4 linked regions of the Saccharomyces cerevisiae S288C genome follow. The gene in region 1 interacts genetically with each later gene. Each region holds a gene or a part of one and is shown in the gene's direction. Other genes may lie near its edges.

The links.
Region 2: mutations in TUB3 (region 1) and HCM1 together harm fitness more than expected from each alone (negative genetic interaction), as found in Saccharomyces cerevisiae (4 studies listed by BioGRID).
Region 3: mutations in TUB3 (region 1) and SNT1 together harm fitness more than expected from each alone (negative genetic interaction), as found in Saccharomyces cerevisiae (3 studies listed by BioGRID).
Region 4: mutations in TUB3 (region 1) and SIF2 together harm fitness more than expected from each alone (negative genetic interaction), as found in Saccharomyces cerevisiae (3 studies listed by BioGRID).

The regions. Positions count from the first base shown.
Region 1 is NC_001145.3:21,548-26,309, reverse strand, and holds TUB3 (alpha-tubulin TUB3), read left to right. Parts: upstream 1-2,626; coding exon 2,627-2,651; exon of another isoform or gene 2,652-2,746; intron 2,747-2,949; coding exon 2,950-4,262; downstream 4,263-4,762. Other genes in the region: YML122C (uncharacterized protein), read left to right, coding at 1-272; phosphate transporter PHO84, read left to right, coding at 510-2,273; PGA3 (cytochrome-b5 reductase), read left to right, coding at 4,611-4,762. UniProt on the Saccharomyces cerevisiae protein: Tubulin is the major constituent of microtubules, a cylinder consisting of laterally associated linear protofilaments composed of alpha- and beta-tubulin heterodimers.
Region 2 is NC_001135.5:227,102-231,905, forward strand, and holds HCM1 (Hcm1p), read left to right. Parts: upstream 1-2,208; coding exon 2,209-3,903; downstream 3,904-4,804. Other genes in the region: TVS1 (Tvs1p), read left to right, coding at 1-357; U2 snRNP complex subunit BUD31, read left to right, coding at 1,217-1,690; E3 ubiquitin-protein ligase RAD18, read left to right, coding at 4,399-4,804. UniProt on the Saccharomyces cerevisiae protein: Transcription factor regulating the cell cycle specific transcription of a spindle pole body (SPB) calmodulin binding protein SPC110. Required for full induction of SPC110 transcription in late G1. Binds to DNA consensus sequence 5'-[AT]AA[TC]AAACAA[AT]-3'.
Region 3 is NC_001135.5:184,098-190,829, forward strand, and holds SNT1 (Snt1p), read left to right. Parts: upstream 1-2,391; coding exon 2,392-6,072; downstream 6,073-6,732. Other genes in the region: BPH1 (Bph1p), read left to right, coding at 1-1,926; fatty acid elongase ELO2, read left to right, coding at 6,495-6,732. UniProt on the Saccharomyces cerevisiae protein: Part of the Set3C complex, which is required to repress early/middle sporulation genes during meiosis.
Region 4 is NC_001134.8:445,909-450,442, forward strand, and holds SIF2 (Sif2p), read left to right. Parts: upstream 1-1,800; coding exon 1,801-3,408; downstream 3,409-4,534. Other genes in the region: exocyst subunit EXO84, read right to left, coding at 1-1,415; YMC2 (organic acid transporter), read left to right, coding at 3,759-4,534. UniProt on the Saccharomyces cerevisiae protein: Antagonizes telomeric silencing in yeast. May recruit SIR4 to non-telomeric sites or repression.

The DNA.
Region 1 (4,762 bases):
AAGAAAATGTTGCCCGGCTGAAAAACACCCGTTCCTCTCACTGCCGCACCGCCCGATGCCAATTTAATAGTTCCACGTGGACGTGTTATTTCCAGCACGTGGGGCGGAAATTAGCGACGGCAATTGATTATGGTTCGCCGCAGTCCATCGAAATCAGTGAGATCGGTGCAGTTATGCACCAAATGTCGTGTGAAAGGCTTTCCTTATCCCTCTTCTCCCGTTTTGCCTGCTTATTAGCTAGATTAAAAACGTGCGTATTACTCATTAATTAACCGACCTCATCTATGAGCTAATTATTATTCCTTTTTGGCAGCATGATGCAACCACATTGCACACCGGTAATGCCAACTTAGATCCACTTACTATTGTGGCTCGTATACGTATATATATAAGCTCATCCTCATCTCTTGTATAAAGTAAAGTTCTAAGTTCACTTCTAAATTTTATCTTTCCTCATCTCGTAGATCACCAGGGCACACAACAAACAAAACTCCACGAATACAATCCAAATGAGTTCCGTCAATAAAGATACTATTCATGTTGCTGAAAGAAGTCTTCATAAAGAACACCTTACCGAAGGTGGTAACATGGCCTTCCACAACCATTTGAATGATTTTGCTCATATTGAAGATCCTCTGGAAAGAAGAAGATTGGCTTTGGAGTCCATCGATGACGAAGGTTTCGGTTGGCAACAAGTTAAGACCATCTCCATTGCTGGTGTTGGTTTCTTGACAGATTCTTATGATATTTTTGCCATTAATTTGGGTATCACTATGATGTCCTACGTTTACTGGCACGGTAGTATGCCAGGTCCAAGTCAAACCTTGTTGAAGGTTTCCACTTCTGTTGGTACTGTTATTGGTCAATTTGGTTTTGGTACTTTAGCTGATATTGTTGGTCGTAAGAGAATTTATGGTATGGAACTTATTATCATGATTGTCTGTACCATTCTGCAAACCACTGTTGCTCATTCTCCTGCTATTAACTTCGTTGCTGTTTTAACATTCTACCGTATTGTCATGGGTATTGGTATCGGTGGTGACTACCCACTATCTTCTATTATTACTTCTGAATTTGCCACTACCAAATGGAGAGGTGCCATCATGGGTGCTGTCTTTGCTAACCAAGCTTGGGGTCAAATCTCCGGTGGTATCATCGCTCTTATCTTGGTTGCTGCTTACAAGGGCGAACTAGAATACGCAAACTCTGGTGCTGAATGTGATGCTAGATGTCAAAAGGCTTGTGACCAAATGTGGAGAATCCTTATTGGGTTGGGTACCGTTCTAGGGTTGGCATGTTTGTATTTCAGATTAACTATTCCAGAATCTCCTAGATATCAATTGGATGTTAACGCTAAGTTGGAACTTGCTGCTGCCGCACAAGAACAAGATGGCGAAAAGAAAATTCACGACACCAGTGATGAAGACATGGCAATTAACGGTTTGGAAAGAGCTTCTACTGCCGTCGAATCTCTTGACAATCATCCTCCAAAGGCTTCGTTCAAAGATTTCTGCAGACATTTTGGTCAATGGAAGTACGGTAAGATTTTGCTAGGTACTGCTGGTTCATGGTTTACCTTAGATGTTGCTTTCTACGGGTTGAGTTTAAACAGTGCTGTTATTCTGCAAACCATCGGTTATGCCGGTTCCAAAAACGTTTACAAGAAACTGTATGATACTGCTGTCGGTAATCTGATTTTGATTTGTGCTGGTTCATTACCTGGTTACTGGGTATCCGTCTTCACTGTCGATATAATCGGTAGAAAACCAATTCAATTAGCCGGTTTCATCATCTTGACCGCTTTGTTCTGTGTCATCGGTTTCGCATACCATAAACTTGGTGACCATGGTCTGTTGGCTCTTTACGTCATTTGTCAATTCTTCCAAAACTTCGGTCCAAACACAACCACCTTTATTGTTCCTGGTGAGTGTTTCCCAACTCGTTACAGATCTACTGCTCATGGTATTTCTGCTGCATCTGGTAAGGTCGGTGCCATTATTGCACAAACCGCTTTGGGTACTCTAATCGACCATAACTGTGCTAGAGACGGTAAGCCAACCAACTGTTGGTTACCTCACGTCATGGAAATTTTCGCCTTATTCATGTTGTTGGGTATCTTCACAACCTTGTTGATCCCAGAAACTAAGAGAAAGACTCTAGAAGAAATTAACGAGCTATACCACGATGAAATCGATCCTGCTACGCTAAACTTCAGAAACAAGAATAATGACATTGAATCTTCCAGCCCATCTCAACTTCAACATGAAGCATAAAAGCCTCAAAGATGCACTAAAACTTGTAAACTAGAACAAATAATACAAAAACATTTTTATAAACTTATTATCAAACCCCTTACATAATCTATAAATACTGTCAGGTTACATATTTATTCGATAATTTCTTTTAATTTCATTATTTCCTCACATCTCTCTGCCATCCTGTTGGCTGGTGCCAGAGCAGAGCATATCGTCCTTTCTTTTTTAGTTCCAGACGTTACCCGACATATCATTTCTCGAGCCTCTGGAAACCACGAAACGTTTTACAAATTGCACATCTAAAAGAAATATAAACACAGATCAGGTATCTCATAAAGTACATTAATCGACTAAGCAAGCGACTTGAGACAATGAGAGAGGTCATTAGTATTAATGGTATGTATGCGTTCCTTTTTTTGTTCAATATTCGCAACCAATGGCACCTGTGGGACAGGGAAAGAAGTTTGATCTGATCTGGTTTGATTCATTCCCAATTGGTCACCATCTGGTTGATTTACGGCAAATAATTTGACTTGTACCAGCACAGTTTACTAACAGTTTCTTTTTCTCCATTTTTTCTGGGCATACTCGGACGAAAAAGCTCATAATTGACCTCATTACATGGGGAGTGATTTTTGTGTCTTCTTCTTCGGAGGATTGCTGGAACTTTTGTTATTTTTCTTTTTTACAACAGTTGGTCAAGCAGGTTGTCAAATAGGTAATGCATGCTGGGAATTGTACTCCCTAGAGCATGGCATCAAGGAAGACGGCCATTTGGAGGATGGCTTGTCAAAACCTAAGGGAGGTGAAGAAGGATTTTCTACATTCTTCCATGAAACGGGGTACGGAAAATTCGTCCCAAGAGCAATCTACGTGGATTTAGAGCCCAATGTTATCGATGAAGTACGTACAGGACGTTTCAAGGAGCTTTTCCATCCAGAACAATTGATTAACGGTAAGGAAGATGCCGCCAATAACTACGCAAGAGGCCATTATACAGTGGGTAGAGAAATAGTGGATGAAGTTGAAGAAAGAATTAGAAAGATGGCCGACCAATGTGACGGTTTACAAGGGTTCTTGTTCACCCACTCCCTCGGTGGTGGAACTGGTTCCGGTTTAGGTTCCCTGTTATTAGAAAACTTATCGTATGAATACGGGAAGAAATCCAAATTGGAATTCGCCGTTTATCCTGCGCCTCAATTGTCTACTTCCGTCGTGGAACCTTACAACACGGTTTTAACCACGCATACCACCCTGGAACACGCAGACTGTACGTTTATGGTCGATAACGAAGCCATTTACGATATATGCAAGAGGAACTTGGGAATTTCTAGACCAAGCTTCAGCAACTTGAACGGGTTGATTGCCCAAGTGATATCATCTGTTACAGCCTCTTTGAGGTTCGATGGTTCATTAAACGTGGATTTGAACGAATTTCAGACCAACTTGGTACCATATCCAAGAATTCATTTCCCTTTGGTTTCCTACGCACCCATCTTGTCCAAGAAGAGGGCCACCCATGAATCCAACTCCGTGTCAGAAATCACAAACGCTTGTTTCGAACCGGGCAATCAAATGGTTAAGTGTGACCCAACAAAGGGGAAGTACATGGCTAACTGTTTGTTATACAGAGGTGACGTGGTGACCAGAGATGTCCAAAGAGCCGTCGAACAGGTGAAGAATAAAAAAACAGTACAAATGGTGGATTGGTGTCCAACAGGATTTAAGATTGGTATTTGTTATGAGCCACCAAGTGTGATACCAAGTTCCGAATTAGCCAATGTGGATAGAGCTGTCTGCATGCTATCCAACACCACTGCCATCGCGGACGCTTGGAAGAGAATCGATCAGAAATTCGACCTGATGTATGCCAAACGTGCTTTCGTCCATTGGTATGTCGGTGAAGGTATGGAAGAAGGTGAGTTCACCGAAGCTAGAGAAGATTTAGCTGCCTTAGAAAGAGATTATATTGAAGTGGGTGCCGATTCTTACGCTGAGGAGTTCTAAGAAAGTGGCTCTGATCCCGATACCCACTTATAGATTTATATTTACTTAATGTCCATATGTATATACATATATATATATATATATATATACGCTTATATATATATATGCATATTCTATCCAAATAAAGATACCTCTAATTATCGAATTATTTTTCACTTACCTTTAGGTGTACAGTTAGAACAATAGCTTATTAAATTTATTTTTTTCCCTATGTTCCGCGGAATATTGAAAAATTTGAAAATATTCTAAGACAAAAATACCCATAAAAAACAAAGAGTTTTGAGCTCATCTCGTTGCCACCCAAACTTATCACAAAAAAGGAAGCACTCCAAGAACCGCGTGAAGAAAATGTCAAAAGAAGACATAGAAGGAACTAACATTCTAGACGAACCTGTCCACGGGATCTATATTCCTGCCGCGCTATTCGTTGTTGGTGTTGCAATCACCACGTATATGTCTGGTGAATTGAAAATCCTGTGGAGTTTACCCATTCTCTTCAT
Region 2 (4,804 bases), on another chromosome or scaffold:
CAGCACGCACAGTCCTCGCAATTTTCTACTACCATTCACACGCAATGGGGATACTTGTTGTCCTATGGGTCCTTCTTCCGTCTGCTAACATTTTTGATTCTGTTTTTGGTGCCCAACACCAACAGTGCCGCATCCAAGCCTTTCACGGAGTTGATCACCTCGTTCTGTCTCCTCTGTGGTGGTCTGGTATTTATGGAGTCCACGGATCAGTCCATTGAAGCCATGGAATATAGGGGGTTTACCCCCATGTTCACTTTCAACCTCAGTGTTGGATTCGTTTCTTTGTTGATGGCTTGGGAAATGATTTTATTTATTTGGAAAGACTGGCTCATCAAAACCAGGAAAACCAGTCTTTAACCGCCATAATGGCTTTTCTTTTTTCTTTTTTTTTTCACCCCCCCCTCATCTTTGAGTGAGAAGCTTATATGCTTTACTTTTCCTCACCTACTTTTTAATTCTTAATTATTAGTTTATCCAGCATTCAGTCAATTCTGAATGCGTTATCGCTTCCTCAAAATTTATAAAAATGAATAAGCAAGATCTCATTGGAATTGAGTTCAATGACGATTATTGAGGGCCCATACCTGATAAAAGTGAATATATTATGTATAATGACTCTACTGGAGGTTCTCTCTGAGAATGTAAAATAATCCACAAAAGACATGAAAATTAGTTACTCTACATAATGTATAATAAGTTCTTCCTTCCTTTTTTCTTTTTTTAGTTTTTCTACTCACCATCCTACCTACGCCAAGCTGCTCTACTGTCTTGGATCTGTGAAAAAACGCCTAGAAACATGTATAAAACCTACCGCTTTAAACCATAATTTCAAATCGAAATGGCACTATGGCCGAGTGGTTAAGGCGAGAGACTCGAATGGAATAAAAAGTTCGGCTATCTCTTGGGCTCTGCCCGCGCTGGTTCAAATCCTGCTGGTGTCGTTTAATTTTTTTTAAATAACATCGTTGATTAAAACAATCCTATTCACTGCAGTCACAGACTTAGCACATTTACAACCAGTACAAGATCAATCACACGCGTTGTGGTAGGAACTTTGACGATGATACTGCGTTGGCTCTTGAACGCATAGTACATTTGTCGTTCACAACGGAAAGTGAAATACTGAAAAAAAAAGAAAAATTTTCTTAGGGACTCATCATCAATGTAAACACCTCTACAGCCGTCAAGACTAGCAAAGCTCACCTCACAAAACGACATGCCGCGCATAAAGACCAGAAGATCCAAGCCTGCACCTGACGGGTTCGAAAAAATCAAGCCAACCCTCACAGATTTCGAAATCCAACTCAGAGATGCCCAAAAGGACAAGTCGTCTAAGCTCGCAGCAAAGTCCAATGAGCAGCTCTGGGAGATAATGCAACTCCACCACCAGCGCTCTAGATACATATATACTCTGTACTACAAGAGAAAGGCCATCTCCAAAGACCTTTACGATTGGTTGATAAAGGAAAAGTATGCTGATAAATTGCTAATTGCCAAATGGCGCAAAACCGGGTATGAAAAACTGTGCTGTCTGCGCTGCATTCAAAAGAACGAAACTAACAACGGTAGCACTTGCATCTGCAGGGTGCCTCGTGCACAGTTAGAGGAAGAAGCACGCAAAAAGGGCACACAGGTGTCCTTCCATCAGTGCGTCCACTGCGGCTGCCGTGGATGTGCAAGCACAGACTAACGACTATATGCACGTTGCAGTATTGTTCTGGCCATGTAATTATCTCTCTCCCAACGTTTTAGAAGAGGTTTTCGTCTCCTTCGTCAAAGACGACCACTTTCCCATTTTGGTCATTGGAACGCGAAAAAACAAAACAGACGCGAGAACGCGACGCGAAAAAATATATTTTTCCGTTTTTTTTTTTTTTCGGAACAAAGATAACGCGTTAAAACCTGTGGATGTAATAAGGATCTGAAACACTGACTAAAACGCGTCCTCATTTAAAATCAAAAAATTACTTCTTCTCCTCCCTTACGGTGCCCTTTGATCCTTCTCAAACTTTAAATATATGTTGCATGATTAATTGAAAATCATATAGAGTATATCTTAACAGAGGTTCCAACGCTTTAAATCGTATTCTATTCTTTTCCCCCCTTTTATTATAGTTACATCTACTATTTGAGCTTCTTTTATTGACCGAAACTACCTCTTATTTCGAAGCAAAAAAAAAAAAAATCAACAAAAATTCCAACTTTTCAATGATGAATGAAGACATATCCATCATTGATGGCCATAATAGTTTTTTAACGGAAAAAAGCACCGTGCTATTAACCCAAGCCAAGAGAACACTAGAAGACGAAAAGGAAATGATTACTCCCCCGAGCTCAACTGTGAGAAAAACAATGAAGGAAGTAAATAAGAGGCCGTCGCATCCCCTCTCACCGGATCACTCGTCCCCAATTGCTCCATCTAAGGCCAAGCGCCAAAGATCGGACACATGCGCTCGGTCCAATGGTAACCTAACCTTGGAAGAAATTCTTCAATCTTTGGAAAGAAGAAGAATAAATGGTGAACTCGCCAAGAAACCTCCATATTCGTATGCAACTTTGATTTGCTTGGCCATTTTGCAATCTCAGGAGGGAAAGCTAACGCTATCCCAGATATATCATTGGATCCACGTTCACTTCCCTTATTACAAGCAGAAAGATGCTAGTTGGCAAAATTCAATAAGACATAACTTGTCTTTAAATGATGCGTTCATCAAGACTGAAAAGTCCTGCGATGGTAAGGGTCATTTCTGGGAGGTCAGACCGGGTGCCGAAACAAAATTTTTCAAAGGTGAAAATCGTGGTTATGAATTTGTAAAGGACTCCTTACAAGACATTGGGAAGTATTTTGAAATAGATTCTACACTTGATGAATTAGAACAAGTTGAGAGTGGAGAAGGCAATGATGATCTTCCTGACGAGGAAGAAAGAGAGGAAGCAGGGAAATTCCCTTCCATTGAAATTCAATTGAACTCCTCCCCTATACTGAGAGTTTCCCAGTTACATCACATACCGCAATTGAAAACAGACAACAGTGTACTGAACCCTCACGAAAACCTAGAATCGATGCGGAACATGATAGAAAACGATGTCAACAATATAGATTCCTTGGAACCTCCTTATGTCATGAAGAAATATCATACTTCTTTAGGCTTACCGTCGCTGGTGAATGCCAAAGATCATTTCCAGGCGGGTGTGAAAAACAATAATATCACCCAGGCAAATAGATTTAATACACTCCCTATAACTAGCGCAAAGTCTCCTCAGAATTTCAGAAAATATTTCACCTCATTCAATTCAAATTTTGAAGATTTATCTCCACTTCGAAGTAATGTAGGGGCTGGTTCTCTACTCGACCCACTTCCGTATTCCCCATTGAAGCTGTACGATCAGAAAAATCTTGCGCTCATGTCGAAACCACAATCTCAGCAATCATATTCCAATTCTCAACTTCCACCTCCACCTTCCTCTCATGGTTCGGACTTACTTAAAACACCCAAGATGAGGCATTCCGATGGCTTAGAGAAAACCCCATCGCGGTTGATAAGCACACCTAAGGACGGTAACTCGATTTTGAGGAAATGGCAGACTCCTTCACACCTTTTTGAAGATTTGTACTGTTCTCCGCTATTTAGAGCTATAGAGACTCCAATCAGGTATATCACGACGCCGGGGGGCACTTTGGAAACCCAAATTTCACCAAGAAAGTCCTCTGCACCCGATGTCCTCACAAGCGCAACGAATTCCAAATTTGCTTCAAGCGGGCTGTTTGGCGTGGATGTTTATTCTGTTTGGAAGCGCGCAACTGAAAAGATTTCTGATGGTAACAATACTACGGATAGCAATCAAAAACATCATCCTTATCATAATCACCCTTCCAACGATAGCGGTAATGAAAAGAATTGACTTTTTTTTTTTTTTTTTTTCATTTTCTTTTCCTCACCGAAAACTAATTATTCTTAATCTGATGGATTCATCGCAAACGGTTGGATGAGTCCTAAACTGGGCTGGAGTTATCATATCACATAGCATTTTCTTTTTAATCTTATTGTATTGTCGGGTCAACTAACTTCTTTTCCCGCTCTTCTATGGTATAATCAATTGCAGAAGAGGCAGGAAAAAATTGTAATCATAACAAAAATGATACAAATTTTTTTTCTAAGTTTTATATTTTACATATCTTTATTTTTGATCCTTACGGATTTTTAATACAGTATTTAGCTGAAGTTTCCATTCACTTCACTTACCTTTTTGATCTCTTTTATTTTTACTTGCCCCGTTGCCTTGCATTTTTCAATAGAAAGTGAAAAACTAAGTACCACTTGAGCAATGCCACATTAGAAGAAAAACCATCCGCAAGTGAGCATCACAGCTACTAAGAAAAGGCCATTTTTACTACTCATGGACCACCAAATAACCACTGCAAGCGACTTCACGACTACTTCAATACCGAGCCTGTACCAATTGGATACACTTTTGAGATGTCACATTTGTAAAGATTTTCTAAAAGTCCCCGTCTTAACACCTTGTGGCCATACATTTTGTTCCCTTTGTATTAGAACACATTTGAATAACCAACCAAATTGTCCTCTCTGCCTTTTCGAGTTCAGAGAGTCCTTGCTGAGAAGTGAGTTCCTGGTCAGTGAAATAATTCAAAGTTATACATCCCTACGATCTTCCTTACTAGATGCACTAAGGATACCGAAGCCTACCCCTGTCCCTGAGAATGAGGAAGTACCAGGTCCTGAAAATTCTTCATGGATAGAACTCATATCAGAGTCTGAAAGTGACAGTGTAAATGCCGCTG
Region 3 (6,732 bases), on another chromosome or scaffold:
GCAAGAAATGGAATAGGAAAGGCAAGCATTGCTTCTAAATTCACTAGCGTCTTCTCAGCGAACAACAGCCTAATAGATGGATTTGAGATCAGCAAAAAATGGGTTAGGGGAGAGATTTCTAATTTTTATTACCTGTTGAGTATCAACATCCTAGCGGGAAGGTCATTCAACGATTTGACCCAATATCCAGTGTTTCCGTGGGTTATTGCAGATTACGAAAGTAACGTACTCGATTTAGAGAATCCTAAAACTTACCGGGACCTATCGAAACCTATGGGCGCTCAAAGTGAGAAAAGGAAATTACAGTTTATAGAGCGTTATGAAGCTTTGGCTTCCCTGGAAAATGCTGATTCCGCACCATTTCATTATGGCACGCATTATTCCTCAGCTATGATAGTATCTTCATATCTGATAAGGCTGAAGCCCTTTGTCGAATCCTTTTTGTTATTGCAAGGCGGAAGTTTTGGCCCTGCAGATCGTTTATTTAGTTCGCTTGAAAGGGCCTGGAGCTCTGCTTCTTCTGAAAATACAACGGATGTCAGGGAATTGACACCTGAATTTTTTTTTCTACCTGAATTTTTGATCAACGTTAATAGTTATGACTTTGGTACAGACCAAAGCGGTAAAAAAGTTGACGACGTCGTACTTCCACCCTGGGCAAATGGTGACCCAAAGGTTTTCATTCAAAAGAATAGAGAAGCTTTAGAAAGTCCTTATGTATCAGCACATTTACATGAATGGATTGATTTGATATTTGGTTACAAACAAAAGGGGGACATTGCTGTGAAATCTGTTAACGTATTCAACAGATTGAGTTACCCAGGCGCTGTAAATCTAGATAACATTGACGATGAAAATGAGCGCAGAGCTATCACAGGCATTATTCACAACTTTGGTCAAACGCCTTTACAAATATTTCAGGAACCTCATCCGGAAAAAATAGCCTGCAATGTTCAACAGCTAACAACAGAGGTATGGCGTAAGGTTCCAATGAAGCCAATATTTGAGAAGACAATCTTTAATTTGAATGAAAAGAACAGGTCCGTCGATTATGTTATACACGATCCTAGTTACTTCGATTCATTATACTGGAGGGGCTTCGCTTTCCCAAACTTGTTTTTCAGAACGGAAGAATCGTTAGTGTCATTGAGAATTGTGCATAAAAATTGGTTAAAAATTGGACTAGATATTTTTAAAAAGACGCATATGGCTCAGATTACATCGTTTGCGTACTGGAAGTTGGGCGAATTCATAACTGGCGATAAAAATGGGCTGATAAAAGTTTGGAAATATCGTAAAGATAAGCATTCGGTTTCAGGTAACCTTGAGAACAAAAAAACAATGTTTGGGCACCTATGCGAGCTAAAGGAGATGCGCTGTTATCACGACTACAATACGCTTTTAACCTTAGACATCAGCGGCTTAGTATATGTCTGGGACATGATTAATTTCGAACTAGTAAGGCAAATAACAAATGATGCGCAAAAGGTCGCAATATCTCAACATGCAGGGAGCATTATGGTATTGACTAAGAATAACGCCATTTCGATCTTCAATCTAAATGGACAAATATATACATCAAAGAAATTCGAACCAGCTAAAATTGTAAGCTCAATTGATTTTTTTGACTTCACTAAGTTAGACGCAGGTTACAGAAAGCATATCTATTGGAAAGAGATGGAAATACTACTAGTGGGCTTTGAAGATGGAACTATAGAAATTTACGAGCTCTTTTTGAATTTTCATAATGAATGGGCGATAAAGCTACTGAAGCAGCTCTGTACCGAAAAAGGGAAAGCCATAACTAGCATTAAGGGACAGGGGAAGACATACCTGTCCCAGAAAAGACGCAAGGATACAGCAGAGCCTCATGAGATAGAAGTGATTGCGGGAACATTAGATGGCAGATTAGCTATTTGGTACTAGGCATCACATCGTAACGCCTTTCTTTAAATGATTCAATTTTTGTAGTTTATATCTTTACTTTTGAAACTGATTTCTCATCCCATCTAGTATTGTAATTGCGTACGTATCCAATATCATTACCAACGCCGGGTATTTTTTTCTAGTATTTCTTCTCCATTTCGCCTATGGAAAACGGCAAAAGGGTAAAAGAAAAAAACAAACGATTAATTCTTCTTTGAATTATGTAAAAATCAAAACGCAACCGCAGATTTAATAGAGACCAGAAATTCGGATTACTATTGACTTTGTGCACCACCTTCAAATTTACTCATTGTTTAAGACAGGCAGTGGGAAAGAAGCCGTCATATTGCTCGAATCCTTAACAAGCAAAATATACAACCACTAAATTATTCCGAAAGGGCCTGCTTAATAATTTGCCTACTAACTTGTGCATAGAACAGCAAACAGAAACAAAGCGTAAGAAACATGGGGTATCCGCCACCTACACGAAGGCTTGGAGATAAGAAAAGGTACCATTATTCCAATAATCCTAACCGAAGGCATCCTTCCGCTGTTTATTCCAAGAATAGCTTTCCAAAATCAAGCAATAATGGATTTGTATCTTCTCCTACTGCCGATAATTCAACAAATCCGTCTGTAACTCCCAGTACTGCATCTGTACCTCTTCCTACAGCGGCACCTGGAAGCACGTTTGGTATCGAAGCACCCAGGCCATCTCGATATGATCCGAGCTCAGTCAGTAGGCCTTCGTCATCATCTTATTCGTCAACAAGAAAAATTGGAAGCCGTTATAACCCAGATGTGGAAAGATCCTCTTCAACCACTAGTTCAACTCCGGAAAGTATGAATACGAGCACCATAACACACACCAATACGGATATCGGAAACTCACGCTATTCTCGAAAAACCATGAGCAGATATAATCCTCAATCTACTAGTTCTACAAACGTTACCCACTTTCCCTCGGCATTATCAAACGCTCCACCGTTTTATGTTGCCAACGGGAGTTCTCGGAGACCTCGATCAATGGATGATTATAGTCCTGATGTAACGAACAAGCTCGAAACAAATAATGTTTCATCTGTTAATAATAACAGCCCTCATTCTTATTACTCTAGGAGCAACAAATGGAGATCCATTGGAACGCCTTCCAGACCACCATTTGATAATCATGTCGGCAATATGACGACCACCAGCAATACTAACTCGATCCATCAAAGGGAACCTTTTTGGAAAGCAAATAGTACTACTATTTTAAAATCAACTCATTCACAGTCATCGCCTTCCCTTCATACTAAAAAATTTCACGATGCGAATAAATTGGACAAACCAGAGGCTTCAGTTAAAGTTGAAACACCCAGTAAAGATGAGACAAAAGCCATATCGTACCATGATAACAATTTTCCACCAAGAAAATCAGTTTCTAAACCTAATGCACCTTTAGAACCCGATAATATCAAGGTTGGCGAAGAAGATGCATTGGGGAAAAAAGAAGTACATAAAAGTGGGCGTGAGATAGCAAAGGAACATCCTACTCCTGTAAAAATGAAAGAGCATGATGAACTAGAAGCTCGCGCTAAAAAAGTAAGTAAAATCAATATTGATGGAAAGCAGGACGAAATTTGGACGACGGCAAAAACAGTGGCCAGTGCAGTCGAAGTTTCCAAAGAAAGTCAAAAGGAACTAACACGCTCTGTTGAAAGGAAGGAAAGCCCAGAAATTAGAGATTATGAAAGAGCATACGATCCGAAAGCCCTGAAAACAGACGTAACAAAGTTGACAGTAGACAATGATAATAAAAGTTACGAAGAACCTCTTGAAAAAGTGGAGGGGTGTATTTTCCCATTACCAAAAGCAGAAACGAGATTATGGGAATTGAAAAACCAGAAAAGAAACAAAATAATAAGTGAACAAAAGTACTTACTGAAAAAGGCAATTAGGAATTTCTCAGAGTATCCTTTTTACGCACAGAACAAACTTATACATCAGCAGGCTACCGGACTTATCTTGACGAAAATTATATCAAAGATAAAAAAGGAAGAACATTTGAAAAAAATAAATTTAAAACATGATTATTTCGATCTCCAGAAGAAGTATGAAAAAGAATGCGAAATTTTGACTAAACTGAGTGAAAATTTAAGGAAGGAAGAAATCGAAAATAAACGTAAAGAGCACGAACTAATGGAGCAGAAAAGACGTGAAGAAGGTATCGAAACAGAAAAGGAAAAAAGCTTACGGCATCCATCCTCGTCTTCCTCATCTCGTCGCAGAAATAGGGCTGACTTCGTTGATGATGCGGAAATGGAAAATGTATTGCTACAAATCGACCCAAATTATAAACATTATCAGGCTGCTGCAACAATTCCTCCGCTAATTTTAGATCCAATCCGCAAACACTCTTACAAATTCTGTGATGTAAATAACTTGGTTACAGACAAAAAGCTTTGGGCGTCTAGAATATTGAAAGACGCCTCTGACAACTTTACTGACCATGAGCACTCTTTATTTTTGGAGGGTTATTTAATTCATCCTAAAAAATTTGGTAAAATTTCTCACTACATGGGCGGCTTAAGAAGTCCTGAAGAGTGTGTCCTACATTATTATAGAACAAAGAAAACTGTGAATTATAAACAACTTCTTATCGATAAGAACAAGAAAAGAAAAATGTCAGCCGCTGCCAAGCGCCGCAAGAGGAAGGAAAGAAGTAATGACGAGGAAGTCGAAGTTGATGAGAGTAAAGAAGAGTCAACGAACACGATAGAGAAGGAAGAAAAAAGTGAGAACAATGCCGAGGAAAATGTTCAGCCGGTTCTAGTTCAAGGTTCTGAAGTGAAAGGTGATCCATTAGGTACACCGGAAAAAGTTGAAAATATGATTGAACAGAGAGGCGAAGAGTTTGCAGGTGAATTGGAAAATGCTGAGAGGGTAAACGACTTAAAAAGGGCGCATGATGAAGTTGGAGAAGAGAGCAATAAGTCCAGTGTAATAGAAACCAACAATGGGGTACAAATAATGGATCCAAAAGGAGCTGTTCAGAATGGTTATTATCCAGAGGAGACCAAAGAACTTGACTTCAGTTTAGAGAATGCGTTACAGAGAAAGAAACACAAATCTGCACCAGAGCATAAAACAAGTTATTGGAGTGTTCGTGAATCTCAACTCTTTCCAGAATTGTTGAAGGAGTTTGGCTCTCAATGGTCTCTCATATCAGAAAAACTGGGTACCAAATCTACTACAATGGTAAGGAATTACTACCAAAGAAATGCAGCTCGCAATGGATGGAAATTACTGGTTGATGAAACCGACTTAAAGCGAGATGGGACTAGTTCAGAATCTGTACAACAATCTCAAATTTTGATACAACCAGAACGACCAAACATCAATGCCTATAGTAATATTCCTCCTCAACAAAGACCGGCTTTGGGTTATTTTGTTGGACAACCAACTCATGGGCATAATACATCTATTTCATCTATCGATGGCTCTATAAGACCATTTGGGCCTGATTTTCATCGTGATACCTTTTCTAAAATTAGTGCTCCTTTAACCACTTTACCACCACCAAGACTACCATCTATTCAGTTTCCTCGTTCAGAAATGGCAGAACCTACAGTGACAGATTTGCGTAACAGGCCCTTAGACCATATTGACACGTTGGCTGATGCAGCTTCGTCAGTAACAAATAATCAAAACTTCAGTAATGAAAGGAATGCAATTGACATTGGCCGTAAATCGACGACAATCAGCAATCTATTGAATAATTCGGATCGAAGCATGAAATCTTCTTTCCAAAGCGCTTCAAGACACGAAGCACAGCTCGAAGACACTCCCAGCATGAACAATATTGTAGTACAAGAAATAAAACCGAATATTACTACGCCAAGATCGAGTTCTATTTCTGCATTACTAAATCCTGTAAATGGGAATGGGCAATCAAACCCAGATGGAAGGCCGTTGCTGCCATTTCAGCATGCTATTTCTCAAGGCACTCCTACTTTCCCTTTACCGGCCCCTCGCACTAGTCCAATAAGTCGTGCGCCTCCAAAGTTCAATTTTTCGAATGATCCGTTGGCAGCTTTGGCTGCGGTTGCCTCCGCGCCAGATGCAATGAGCAGTTTTTTATCTAAAAAGGAAAATAATAATTGAACAAACGGCTGAGACGGGCAATACATATGCTCTACTTCTTTTCCATCCAATGGTTGGTGAAACTCTCGAGCATACATTACCTTACGTGTGTTAGTGTACTATATTATATATATATATATGTATATATATAAAGGGAGGAGTTTTTAATTATAATTGTAATTTCGTATTTTTTCTGCATTATACAGTTTTTTCCGATTTTAAACGACTTTATTTAAGTGTCGTGTAAATATGTCACATTTTATTTTTGTACGTATTCACATGTCCTGGCGTGCGGCCATTGCTGAAAATCGCAAAACCCACAGAGAAATAAACATCGCGAAAAAGTCAATGAAAAATTGGAAAATATTTTTCATTTCACTATTATCCACAAGCAATTTTGTACAAAGTGAAAAGGTTGAACTAATTATCTTCGTCTAGAAGCCATGAATTCACTCGTTACTCAATATGCTGCTCCGTTGTTCGAGCGTTATCCCCAACTTCATGACTATTTACCAACTTTGGAGCGACCATTTTTTAATATTTCGTTGTGGGAACATTTCGATGATGTCGTCACTCGTGTAACTAACGGTAGATTTGTTCCAAGCGAATTCCAATTCATTGCAGGTGAATTACCATTAAGCACTTTGCCCCCTGTGCTATACGCCATCACTGCCTATTACG
Region 4 (4,534 bases), on another chromosome or scaffold:
TGCGTAGATTGCAAATATCTAAAGGACTCTCTAATACGTTTAGAGTTCTCCTCTTCTACATGGAATATGTCGCACAAATCATCCTTAGCCTTTCTTATAACGTCCAACAACCTAGAGCATTCGTCTGCGTCTCTACATTCATACAAACTTGAATTCGAATTGCTAAACTTGAAAAGTAGCCTCTTAGTGGAAAATTCCTCTTGCGTGACAGTGACATCCTTTAAAGGATAGCACTGGCTTACTATAAAGTCATTTTGCTTATCTCTTGATTTATCGGCGATAAGTACCAAATCATTCAAAATGAAAATCTGTACCATCTGCAAGGGTTTACCAGTGGTAGTATTTAATTCCATCCAATTGGCACTATTCATTAAAATATGTCTTCCTTTCGTAGAATTGATAAACTTCTGAGCACCTTCAACGTTCTTAAACAGCTGATCCAGTTCCGTATCCCAAAATTTCTCTAATATCAAGACGCTCGATCTGTCCCTCCTCATGAGATTCCCATTTTGTCCTGCTTTCAAAGGCGGAAGTAACGCTGGACTATTAGAATGACTTTCAACATTGTTAAAATTGCCTTGTCTCTCTTGATCTATTTGATCCTGCAATTGTAACCTTTTTTCAGCTATTTTGGTGCACTGATCCAAAACCTCGTTTAAATCATTTATATTTGCTCTAACCCTTTTAAGCTCCAACATAGCAACATTTAGGTCGTTGTTTACCGTCATGATTTCGTTATATGATTTATTGATATTTAACTTTACTTCTTCTTGGACCTGTATCGATAAATCTGTTAAATTTGAGGTAAATTTATCAATAGTAATGGCACTCGCATTGCCTAGTTTATCATGAACAAAATCTTTAGCATTAAAATGCGGGTTTGCCAACATCTTTCTTAGCGACGTGCTATTATTGAAAGGATCATTACTGCCGGAAGGATTGACAGTATTTCGCATTGCTGATCTAGCAGGCACCTTATTATAGGAGCTGTCGTTCAGGGAGAGATCGGCAGTTGAAAGATTTAAACTGTTGGAAGGGCCTTTAGAGCTTACCGATTCGTTCTCAGTGGTGAAACTACTATTATTATGACTACTATCCACATTATCATTGGGAACTATCATGTTTGGCATATCAGGTAGGGGCATTGAGTAATCTAGTGTAGGTGGAGCATAATTTGTATTATGAATTGATAGTCTTCTCTGCATTGAAGTTGCTACCCTACTTCTCTCCCTTGCATTGATTGTTGGTAGCGTATAACTGGTAGCCGGATCCTTGAGATCACTATAAGGGTTCTTTTTTGTTTTTTGTTTAGGCTTAGCAGGCGATGGAGGTGTCTTTTGCTTAGCAGGAGAGCTTGCAGACTTCTTTACATGCTTCCAATTGTTTCTGGCCTTCTTCAAAGAAAACTCAACCATTTTCACAGTACAAATATTTCAACTTTCAGTCTCTTACCTGGTCTAATATGAAGGCTTTTTGTTCATTCGGCTTTGCTCAAGGTCTTACAAATATACTATTAACTGCAGTCTCTAGTCTCTTTTTCCAGTCATCTATTTTCATGGAGCGGAACTTAGCAAACGAGAAATAAACAAAAATGATTAGGAATGTATTCATGTTGAAAAGGTTATGAGATATGCAAGACCATTCGTTTTGATTTGCAATTAGTGAGAACAATTTAAACACCTTGGTGCGAAATTGAAGGTTTTTTTTTCCAAAGAAGTGTACAGCCCACACTAACAACTGCTAACTCAGATAAAAATAACAGAAACAAAAAAAAGGTAGGGAAGGCCCATCACACGGAAAATGAGTATAACAAGTGAAGAACTAAACTACTTGATATGGAGGTATTGTCAAGAGATGGGACACGAGGTGAGTGCATTAGCATTGCAGGATGAAACAAGAGTATTGGAATTTGATGAGAAGTATAAAGAACACATTCCTTTGGGTACACTGGTGAATCTAGTACAAAGGGGAATCTTGTATACAGAAAGTGAGTTAATGGTTGATAGTAAAGGTGATATCAGCGCTTTAAATGAACATCATCTTTCTGAAGATTTCAATTTGGTTCAGGCGCTGCAAATAGATAAAGAAAAATTTCCTGAGATCTCTTCTGAAGGAAGGTTCACTTTGGAAACCAATTCCGAGAGTAATAAAGCAGGTGAAGATGGCGCTAGTACTGTTGAAAGAGAAACCCAAGAGGACGATACTAATTCTATTGACAGTAGTGATGACCTAGACGGATTTGTCAAAATACTGAAGGAGATAGTAAAATTAGATAATATTGTTTCCTCCACTTGGAATCCATTGGATGAATCTATACTCGCATACGGTGAAAAAAATTCTGTTGCAAGACTAGCGAGGATAGTAGAAACCGATCAAGAAGGGAAAAAATACTGGAAACTCACGATAATAGCGGAGTTGAGACATCCTTTTGCTCTGAGTGCAAGTAGTGGTAAAACGACGAATCAAGTCACATGTCTTGCTTGGTCACACGATGGTAATTCAATTGTCACGGGTGTAGAAAATGGTGAGCTAAGACTATGGAATAAGACGGGGGCACTTCTGAATGTTTTAAATTTTCATAGAGCACCTATAGTATCCGTTAAATGGAACAAAGATGGAACACATATCATATCCATGGACGTGGAAAATGTCACTATACTCTGGAATGTTATAAGCGGGACCGTCATGCAGCACTTTGAATTAAAAGAAACCGGTGGCTCATCCATCAACGCAGAGAACCATAGTGGCGATGGTTCACTTGGGGTTGACGTTGAATGGGTAGACGATGACAAATTTGTCATTCCTGGCCCTAAAGGTGCTATATTTGTATACCAAATTACAGAAAAAACGCCCACTGGTAAACTTATTGGACACCATGGACCTATCAGCGTTTTGGAGTTCAATGACACCAATAAACTTCTACTTAGTGCCTCAGACGATGGTACTCTAAGAATATGGCATGGCGGTAACGGCAATTCTCAGAATTGCTTCTACGGACACTCACAAAGCATAGTATCGGCATCATGGGTCGGTGATGATAAGGTAATATCCTGCTCGATGGATGGCTCCGTTCGCCTATGGTCGCTGAAGCAGAATACGCTATTGGCTCTATCAATCGTGGATGGTGTCCCAATTTTTGCTGGAAGAATATCACAAGATGGACAGAAGTACGCAGTTGCTTTCATGGATGGGCAGGTAAACGTCTACGATTTAAAAAAACTGAACAGCAAGTCACGAAGTCTTTATGGTAACCGTGATGGGATTTTGAATCCATTACCAATTCCCCTCTACGCTAGCTACCAAAGCAGCCAAGACAATGATTATATATTTGATCTGTCATGGAACTGTGCGGGAAACAAGATTTCTGTAGCATACTCGCTTCAAGAAGGTTCAGTTGTAGCCATATAATAACTAGGTACAGTACATAAACAGATGAATTTTATCATTCTTATTGTTATTTCTTTGTTTACAAAAGGTGAAAAGTGAAAAATTTCGCAATGGAAAACGTCGCGGGCCGCCTTTGAGTGACGTTGTGCAGGAATCTCGAAGAGTCATCACTTTGAAGATAACGGCCGCTCGCGATGAGAGAAGACAATGAGCATTGCTTTTTTATAATTTTTTATACCTTGTGTTAAAATAAGTTTCTTTAATTAGTTTTCACCTCTTGGATGATACAACTGTAATTGATAAATAGGGGTAGCCATAAAGAACAGAAAAAAGCGGCGCAATAATTTCGTGTATTACAATTACAGTTAGTCATGAGTGAAGAATTTCCTACGCCGCAGCTTTTGGATGAATTGGAAGATCAACAGAAAGTTACCACGCCGAATGAGAAGAGAGAGTTAAGTTCTAATCGTGTGTTGAAGGATATTTTTGCGGGTACCATCGGTGGTATTGCACAAGTTCTTGTAGGGCAACCGTTTGATACAACAAAAGTTAGGCTTCAAACAGCCACCACAAGAACAACAACGTTGGAGGTATTGCGTAACTTGGTAAAGAATGAGGGTGTGTTTGCATTCTACAAAGGTGCGTTAACACCGTTATTGGGTGTTGGTATATGTGTCTCAGTACAATTTGGTGTGAATGAGGCGATGAAAAGATTTTTCCAAAATTACAACGCTTCTAAGAACCCGAATATGAGCTCACAGGACGTAGATCTTTCACGTTCAAATACTCTGCCACTATCCCAGTACTACGTTTGTGGGTTGACAGGTGGTGTAGTCAATTCATTCTTGGCATCGCCCATTGAACAAATAAGAATTCGTTTGCAGACGCAAACATCTAATGGTGGAGACAGAGAATTCAAAGGTCCTTGGGACTGTATTAAAAAATTGAAAGCTCAAGGTGGATTGATGAGGGGTTTATTTCCCACAATGATAAGAGCCGGACATGGGCTTGGTACATATTTTCTTGTCTACGAAGCATTGGTTGCCAGAGAAATTGGTACGGGACTAACAAGAAACGAAATTCCTCCTTGGAAATTATGCTTATTTGGTGCATTTTCCGGGACAATGTTGTGGTTGACAGTATACCC